2 linked regions of the Rattus norvegicus genome follow. The protein of the gene in region 2 purifies or fractionates together with the protein of the main gene of each other region. This does not show direct contact. Links are inferred from orthologs where the notes say so. Each region holds a gene or a part of one and is shown on either strand. Other genes may lie near its edges. The genes, in order: Fastkd5 and Mapk4.

Evidence for each region.
Region 1: the proteins of Mapk4 (region 2) and Fastkd5 purify together in Homo sapiens (affinity purification with mass spectrometry; 3 studies listed by BioGRID and IntAct, with this or other methods). This does not show direct contact. The link is inferred for Rattus norvegicus from reciprocal best matches to the Homo sapiens genes MAPK4 and FASTKD5.

Annotation. Positions count from the first base shown.
Region 1 is NC_086021.1:138,283,608-138,287,421, forward strand, and holds part of Fastkd5 (FAST kinase domain-containing protein 5, mitochondrial), read right to left. Parts: intron 2,611-3,814; exon of another isoform or gene 2,574-2,610; 5' UTR 2,414-2,573; coding exon 119-2,413; 3' UTR 1-118. UniProt on the Homo sapiens protein: Plays an important role in the processing of non-canonical mitochondrial mRNA precursors.
Region 2 is NC_086036.1:69,787,312-69,791,904, reverse strand, and holds the end of Mapk4 (mitogen-activated protein kinase 4), read left to right. Parts: intron 1-1,304; coding exon 1,305-2,001; 3' UTR 2,002-3,845; downstream 3,846-4,593. UniProt on the Homo sapiens protein: Atypical MAPK protein. Phosphorylates microtubule-associated protein 2 (MAP2) and MAPKAPK5.

The sequences.
Region 1 (3,814 bases), on a different chromosome or scaffold from region 2:
GTACTCAGTTCCAGATTTTAGGACATTTGACTTTGATTTTCTGGTTAAGGATCCTTAACCTACAGATATAGGGTATGCACCTGTTCCTTTTATGAGCATAAATGCCCATGAGTGCCCTTCAGAGAGCAGAGGTGAACACTTTCTCATGGAGGTATGCTAGCTTCTCTAAGCGAGTTCTTTTCAGTAATGGAAGCCATTCCCAGTGGGGTAATTCTACCACACGGTACCCAATTTGAACCAGCTGCCTTCTCTTCATATTGTGCAATCCAAGAAGATCCCTGGAACCATAGCAGTATTGGTTCTTGTTTGTAAACTGGATAGCTAGCTTTACTAGTGGGGTCTGCATGTGGGTGAGAGGGCACAAGCCAGCTATTCCCGTATCCCCCAATCTATCTGCTCCATTGCAATCAGAGTCCACCAAGGGTACAGTTGTCTTCTTTCTTAACTCGATGGATAGCTGGCCAGTCTCTAACTCAGTTTCCCCCTGGAAATACCTCTTGGCTTTTCCCTTTAGCAACTGATTCATCAAATCATCTGTAAGGCTGACTCCCACTTGCTTAAGTCGTAATTGGGCTACATCTTCAGTTGGTGTTGCTTCACTATTAAATGGTAATGGCTTCATGTTAGCATCAAGCTGAACCTCTAAGTCAGAAGATCGAGTATGAGGTAAAATCATATGGTGCTTGATGTACTGTGGGCCACCCAACATGGTCTCAAGTAAGTAGAGAGTTTCTAGGAATTCAGGCTTTGATCTCATGTCCTTGTTTGCTAAACTCCACAGATTTGCAGATGCTTCTTGCTGAAGGTGAGAATTAAGGCGGTTGCCCTTGTAATCTGGACATTCAATGGCAACTGTACCATCAAGAGTAAACAGTTCCTTAGTGAGTTCAAACTTACTTCTCATTTGAGCTAACTTGACAAACCCTGGGCTCAGAGCAACATTTATGAATTCAGCTGGAAAGTACTCAGAAAATGCCAAGCCAATCAGGCAGGTGAGAAGGTGCTCTGGGTACTGGTTGAATTCAGGCATCTTTCTGTGGATTTCATTTATCAGACTGGAATAAAATTCTTCTGTGTTCGGTGGCTTATAATTCAGAGTTCCAAACGACCACAGAATTTTGGCAACATCTTTACTTCGACAGTGTGCTACCCTTGGAGGCAAAGAGGCAGCTACTGCATTCATTACTCTTTCATCCAGGATACGTAAGGCTGAGCAGGCAAGGGTAAGGTGCATAACACCCTGAACCCCCAAGGAAGGAATTCTCTGAGGAGCAATTTCTCCAAACTGCCTCATGAAATTTACATGATCTACGTGAGTGAAGCGGAACATTTTAAGAATATGAACTAAGGTGTGGCTACGCACATCCTGCATATTAGCACAAGCTAGATCTCCAATTTTCCGCATGACAAATTCAGAGAGGCTAGTACTTGATTTAAAAAAACCCAAACAGATGGTACCAACTTCCTCTAAATTGACTGAATCTATATACTTAAGGATCAGTGATTCTAGTTTTTGCATCAGGTCCTGTGGTACTTGACGATTTTCACCTATAATATAAATTAAGTGAATTAGCTGAGACAAAGATAGCTCTCTCCAGTGCAAATTAAGGTAGCTAAAAAAAATTTTTAAAAATCGAGGCACTCTGCGGCCTAAGTTCCGCCAAAGATCAGCCACGAGGAGAAGCTGATCCAGGTTCATCCCCCATACCTGATGGCAAAACCTGGTTTCATACACATCTAGCATCGAGGCGGAGAAGGGGATTCTTAGGTCGACAAAGGCTTTCAGAATACTGACCAGGTCTGAGGTGTTAAAGAGCTGTATGTTTCTCACACTCTGATGACAGAGCAAAGCAAAGCTGTTACTGCACAGCAAAACGGAACTCTGTTCTGCTGGCAAAGAGCTGAGCTTACAAAAATAATTAGTTATGACTTCTGGCTGGAGTTTATCTTCATAAAATGTGACTTTGTGCAAAATTAGTTCACCTTCTGAGGCAGATAAGGGTTGGCGAGTCTCACTTCTGTTATAGCTGTGAAGCTGGTACTCTGGCCTTAGCTTTAAGAAAACTCGGGTTCCTTCGAAGGAATCAAAGACCTCTACATCCTCTTCGCCTCTTCTGGCACTGGGTGAGTCTGGATGCAATGCACTGGCCTTGAGCGCAGAAGCTTTGTTGAATTCCAAACCCAGGTGGGCACTGCTGGTTGTGAAGGCTCTCTGAGACAGGGTGGTATCACCAATGTTCTTAACTTTTCTGGCAAGATGGCAGGAGCTATTATGTTTAGGGAGATTCTGTCCCCCATGCTGTGCGATGTTTTCCATAGGCCAATATGCCATGCTTTGGGCTGCATGGTAAGCAGAAGGATTACAAGATGCTTTGTATTTTAAAAGTTTTAATAGCTTGAGAGTGGCTGACATTCTGGAGTCTGTGCTGATCTTTTTGGCAGTCAGAGAAAAGTCACACGTTCTTGTTTATATGGTGCTTCATTAGAGATGTTCCACAGAAACTGCCTGTAACTCTTCGGCATACCACAAGAGCCATGGGCCACAAATGATGGGCCAGTATTGGTGCCAGATACTGAAAAAAGGGTAGATGAAAAATGAGTGGCTTCTACCTATAACACAAAATGTACACATTATAAGAATTAGGTACAGCCAGGTGTGGTGGCACACACCCTTTAAATCCAGTACTTATGAGGTTGAGGCAACAGGATCTATGCCAAGACTATCTTGTGAAGCCCTGTCTCAAAAGACATAAGAAAAAAAAGAGAAAGATGCAAACTATACTACTATCCATGCATGTATGTTCAGTGTTAGTGAAAGCCCAGAGCACAAGCCATTAAGTGTGAAGGAGAAACTCTGCATGCATTGCAAACACCCAAGACACGATTAGGTGATTTCTAGACTGCTGTTTGATATAAATTCACTTCCTTGGAGGGAAGGACAGATTTCCAAAAGAAAGCTGAGGGTAAAAAGTGGGCAACTCATTTCTTTACAATCAACACATAATAGTACCTGGAGAATACAAGCAATTAATAAAAGTTGCCACGCTAACAGTATAAAGGAAAAAGTAGGATTTGCTTTTTCAATTTTGTTTATTTTTTTTTTTAAGATTTACTTATTTCATGTATGCGAGTACACTGTCTCTGTCACACCAGAAGAGGGCATCAGATCCCATTACAAATGGTTGTCAGCCACCATGATGTGGGTGCTGGGAATTGAACTCAGGACCTCTGGAAGAGCAGCCCAGGCTCTTAATCACTGAGCCATCTCTCCAGCCCCAATTTTGTTTATTTTTATTTGATGTGTATAGATGTTCTGTCTGCATGTATGTGTCTACCACTTGTGTGATTGGTGTCTGAGGAGGTCAGAAGAGGGGGTTGGACCCCCTGAGCTGGAGTTACAAGCAGTTGCAAGCCACAGGACTTGGGTGCTAGAAACTAAGTTCAGGTTCTCTGAAAGCGCAAGAAATATATATTTTAAGGCTTTTTTTCTATTTATTTATATATTTGTGTATATATGAGTTTATTTAAGTTTGTTTGTTTATCTAATGTGTATGAGTGTTTTGCACACCAGAAAAGGGCAACAGATCCAATGGAACTACAGTTATAAACCAGTGGGCAGTAAGAATTGAACCCAGGTCCCCCGGAAAGGCAGCTAGTGCTCTTAACCACTGAGCTGTCTCTCTAGCTCATAACAGGCATTTGCTCATTCTATTCTCTTAGGTCCATTTTTTTTTTCTTTGAAACAGGGTCTCACTGTGTAGCATTAGCTGGCCTCTACAGAACTTATTCTGTAGATCAGGCTGGCCTCAAACCC
Region 2 (4,593 bases):
CCCTATTGCAGGAACACTCACTGTTGTGGCATGCTAATCTTCTCATCTTTAGGACTGTGGTGGTCAAACTAAGTCCTCTCAGATAGAGTACTACTATCTCAAGATAGTAGATCATATATGGCCAGCACTTGGAGTGTACCAGACAGATGCTGGTCCTTCCCAGCTCTTCTTCCTAGAAACCCCTGCAACTTCAAGGGCATTCAGGCAAAGGGTGGTATTGAACTCTGAGGGCAATGCCCACATTAATGGTGTTCCCTGGGAGGTGGGTAGCACAAGTCCTTCCCCTACCTCTCCAGCCAGAGTACCCCCATAGCCTATGGGCTGCACCTGCCTGGCCTTGGCTGGTCTGATTGTCCTATGTGAGCACCAGCCCTCTGGCTCAGGGAGCAGCTGGCCAGGAGCTGCCACCTTGTCTGTGCTCCCAACCGCAATACTTGGCATAAGAAAGGGGTTCAGCCAGAGCTGATAGCCAGCCACCTGCCTGCCCATCTGCCCTCCGTTTGCTCTTAGCTATCTGATTTCAGTCTCCTTGGCTACGGGGCAGTCAGTAGAGGGCAGAATTCCAAGGCTCTTTGGTCTCCCTCGATGGTGTCTGTGATCTTTCTGCAGGCCCCATCTGCTCTACTTGGAGGCTAGGGGCTACAAGGCACCTATCCAGATCCATCACGGCAGAGGTTATCAGCCTGGGCTGCGTAGAATCCCTAGGAGAATCTCATAAACATGCCCAAACAGGGCCACCTAGACCTACTGAACCAGAACATTGGTAGTGGGCAGCAAGGGATACCTGGTACTTAATTTTAATCCTCCTGTGTGATTCAAATCTGGGGCAGGATTAGGAAGCACTGGCCTTGCCACTCAAAGTGCAGTCCGAGGATCAGCAGGAGCATCGGGGAGCCTCCCAGGTCCCAGTGCAGAGCTGCAGGGTCCAGATCCCCAGTTTAACACGACCCCATGTTGTTATATGGGTTACATAGGTGAACCAATTAGAAAGTTCCATAAGGAAGACTGTTTTGTTGCTTTGTTCACAAATCCATCATGTAAAGCCTGCACGCAGTGAGTGTCCAAGAAAGCTGTTGATTGACTACTAAAGACTAAACTCACAGATCAGCCCCCCTAGCTGGGCCCCTGAAGCTCTCTTTCACCTGCGCCATCACACTCCAACCTTGAGGGATGATAGTACCTGCCCTTTAGGGACTAGGAGGAATAATGAGTGGACTTGTAAGCAGACTACGGGTATTAGGCGATTTGGCTCTCCATTCATCCTGGGTGTGCTTCACATCGTGCCTTCTTTTGCACGCTTGCAGGTATCCCGTGAGCCTGTCGTCAGATCTGGAATGGCGGCCTGACCGCTGTCAGGACGCGAGCGAGGTGCAGCGCGACCCACGTGCTGGCTCTACTCCGCTGGCGGAGGATGTTCAGGTGGACCCACGCAAGGACTCACAGAGCAGCTCCGAGCGCTTCCTGGAGCAGTCGCACTCGTCCATGGAGCGCGCCTTTGAGGCCGACTATGGACGGTCCTGCGACTACAAAGTGGGGTCTCCGTCCTACCTGGACAAGCTGCTGTGGCGCGACAACAAGCCCCACCACTACTCGGAACCCAAGCTCATCCTGGACCTGTCGCACTGGAAGCAGGCGGCCAGCGCACCCCCCAGGGCTGCAGTAGCAGCAGACCCAGTGTCACGTGAGGATGAGCCAGCAAGCCTCTTTCTGGAGATCGCGCAGTGGGTCAAGAGCACACAAGGTGGCCCTGAGCGTGCCAGTCCTCCCCCTGATGCCCCAGAGCCCCGTCTCTCTGCTTCACCCCCGGGACACCCAACACCCATTGATGGGGGTGCCAGTCCCCAATTCGACTTAGATGTGTTCATCTCGCGTGCCCTAAAGCTCTGCACCAAACCTGAGGACCTACCGGAAAACAAACTGGGCGACCTGAATGGTGCGTGCATCTCCGAGCACCCCGGCGACCTCGTGCAAACAGAGGCCTTCTCCAAAGAAAGGTGGTGAGCACAGAAGGGGTGCGTGAGAACTCCCGGAGCAAGACCCCACCCAGAAAGCTGGACCGCTTCCTTGCTTTCCTAGTACTCCTTCAGCCCCTCTCTGCTGCATTGGGGTTAGCAGAACACACGCGGGTCCGGGGAGCAAGAGGAATGTCCATTTCTTAAACTGCCTTAATAACTAGCCTTTAACCTCTGGGAGCGGGTTTGAGCAGACCCTGGCTGGGAGCTATCAGTTTCCCATCAAAGGGAAAGGCCTGTTGAGTGTACAAGGGAAGAAAGGGATTTCAGACCGAAGTCTACAGCCCTACGAGGAGTCAGAAACAGCTTACAGACATAGTTTCCAAGCCGTGTGACCCACCTAGTCCCAAATTGACATTTGGGCCCAGTGAAGCCATTAGGACCACAAGCCTGGTGGTGTCAGGATAAAGCCTGTGTCCCAAGCTCCTATCCCTGGACCAGTGTCTGACCACAGTATAATGTCTTCCTCTGCTGGGGCCACTCTGACTTTTTGGTCAGAAAACGGTCCCGAGTGCTTCTCGCTTTCCCTTACTGTCTGTCCCATCCTTCCCTTTAATTTAGACCTGTGGCTCCTGTTTTCCGAAACCGGAAACAGAACCGGTTTCTTTTTCCTAGTCGCCAGACATATTTCTACGACTCCCCAAGTGCTTAAATGTCCTCACCTGCCACCTCCCTGTATTAACCCAACCCAGCTCAGTCTGAAGTTACTCCTTCCTAGCAGAACAGTTTGGGGGCTGCTTAAACTTAGTCATCTCCCAGGCCTGTGCCTACAGCCTCCTCCTGCACGCCCTATGCACTTTCCTGACTCAACACAGCCATTGTTCTCCAGTGGAGATCCTACAGGGATGAGTTTAAAGACGGAAATTGCGAGAATCCCTCTTGTCTAATCCCCAGCATCCCACCCACCCCACCCACACACACACAGCTCCTCTCCAAGACGATTTCAGGACCAAATGTTCTTGGCACAAATGGCTCATTTGTAGGAGAAGCAATAAGGTGCTTTCCATAAAAACAAATGAGTTAGGAGGGAAGACTCCGCAGAACACCCATCATCCTTCATTAATGTCGCCCAGGATCATTTTAGTCCTAGCCAGGAGTAGACCCTAAAGGGATGGCCTGAGAGATAGCAACCTTCGGGCAAGAGACCCAGAAAGATAAACCAGGAGTTTAAAGAAAGGTCCTAACCTCGGGTGTCCTCAAGAGCCAGCTATCAAGGTGGAGAACCCGAGGCAAAGAAAGGGATTCAAAGTAATCGCATCCTGGTGGCTCAGGTTAAGAGAAACTTGGAATCAGTTCCAAGCCTCTGCAGGAAAAGCATGGGGCAGGGGGTTGAGGGGAATACCAACAGTCCCTGGTCTGTTCCTGAACACTCCGCCACTGGTATCTATCCTCCCCTCCCCCTGCCGACATCCCAAAGATACCCACGAGAGGTCCAGCTGCTCTGTTGAGAGATCTCCTTGGGCTGTGTTCATTCTCACGACGCAGCACCTTAAATCTCGCTGACTGTGGTTTGTACATTGAAACGTACAGTGCATCAGAAACATATATTTTAAAACAATCATGCTGACCGGGTTTTTAAGTGGAAAGTATGTAAATATAAAGGGTTTAGGTTTTATTCCTTTTTTTTTTCTTTAAGAAAAAAATGCAATGCACACCACCCCTTATGTGCCATTTGTCGTCGGGGGGAAGCTTTACTTTTTGAGTAAAGGGACATGCTGCTGACTGACCGCTAGCTCACGGAGAATTGTGATAATTAGTCATGTTCTTAAAAGAATCTGTTAAATATTATTAAACTTGATCAGGATGAGCCAAATAAAGTTTTATTGGAACATAGATCCGTCGGGCATTGTCACATTAACTGTCATCTTTTTACCGTGTTGGAGTCATGAGAGCCTTGCTGGCTTCTCCCTGCACCATGAAGACAGTGTTTGGAGATGTGAATGTGGGGTTCCAGGTAGGGAGGGGGTTCTGCAAGGAGAGAATCTACCTGTGTGTGATCAGAATTAGCTACTGAGGTCTGGCGTCCATCTTGGAGAGCTCTACAATCTTGGTGTCAACTCCACACCTTTGATCAGGGCTGGTCCTTATTGTCATAGAAGGTCTCAACATCATGAAATCGCAGAGAACAAACCTGTCCCACGTAGCCACCTGAGCCACACCCCTCAGGTACCTGAAGCCGACTGCTCTGTCATACATGTGACAAGATTATGAAGCCCCAGCTCCATCTGTTACTCAACAGATATAGATCCAGAGTTTTACATTTTTGTTTCTGTTCGACGTCTTAGGAAGGCTTTCTGGTTAGAACACACTACTATTGAAATGCGCCTACACCAAGATGAGAGGCTTCTGAGCCATTGATCAGAATCTCTCCGAACCGTCTGCCAAGTATACGGCGGTGCTCCTTTCCCCAGTAAATACTCACAGTCAACCGCAGTCTGCAGATAGAAACTGGAAGAAACCAGAAATAAACAACGCATCGGCTTTACCTTTCCCAGAGTTCTGAAGCACAGCGAAGACTCACACAGTCCCACTGTGCCCCTACTGGGACCCAAATCATCCTTATCAAGTAGTTCCACTTCAC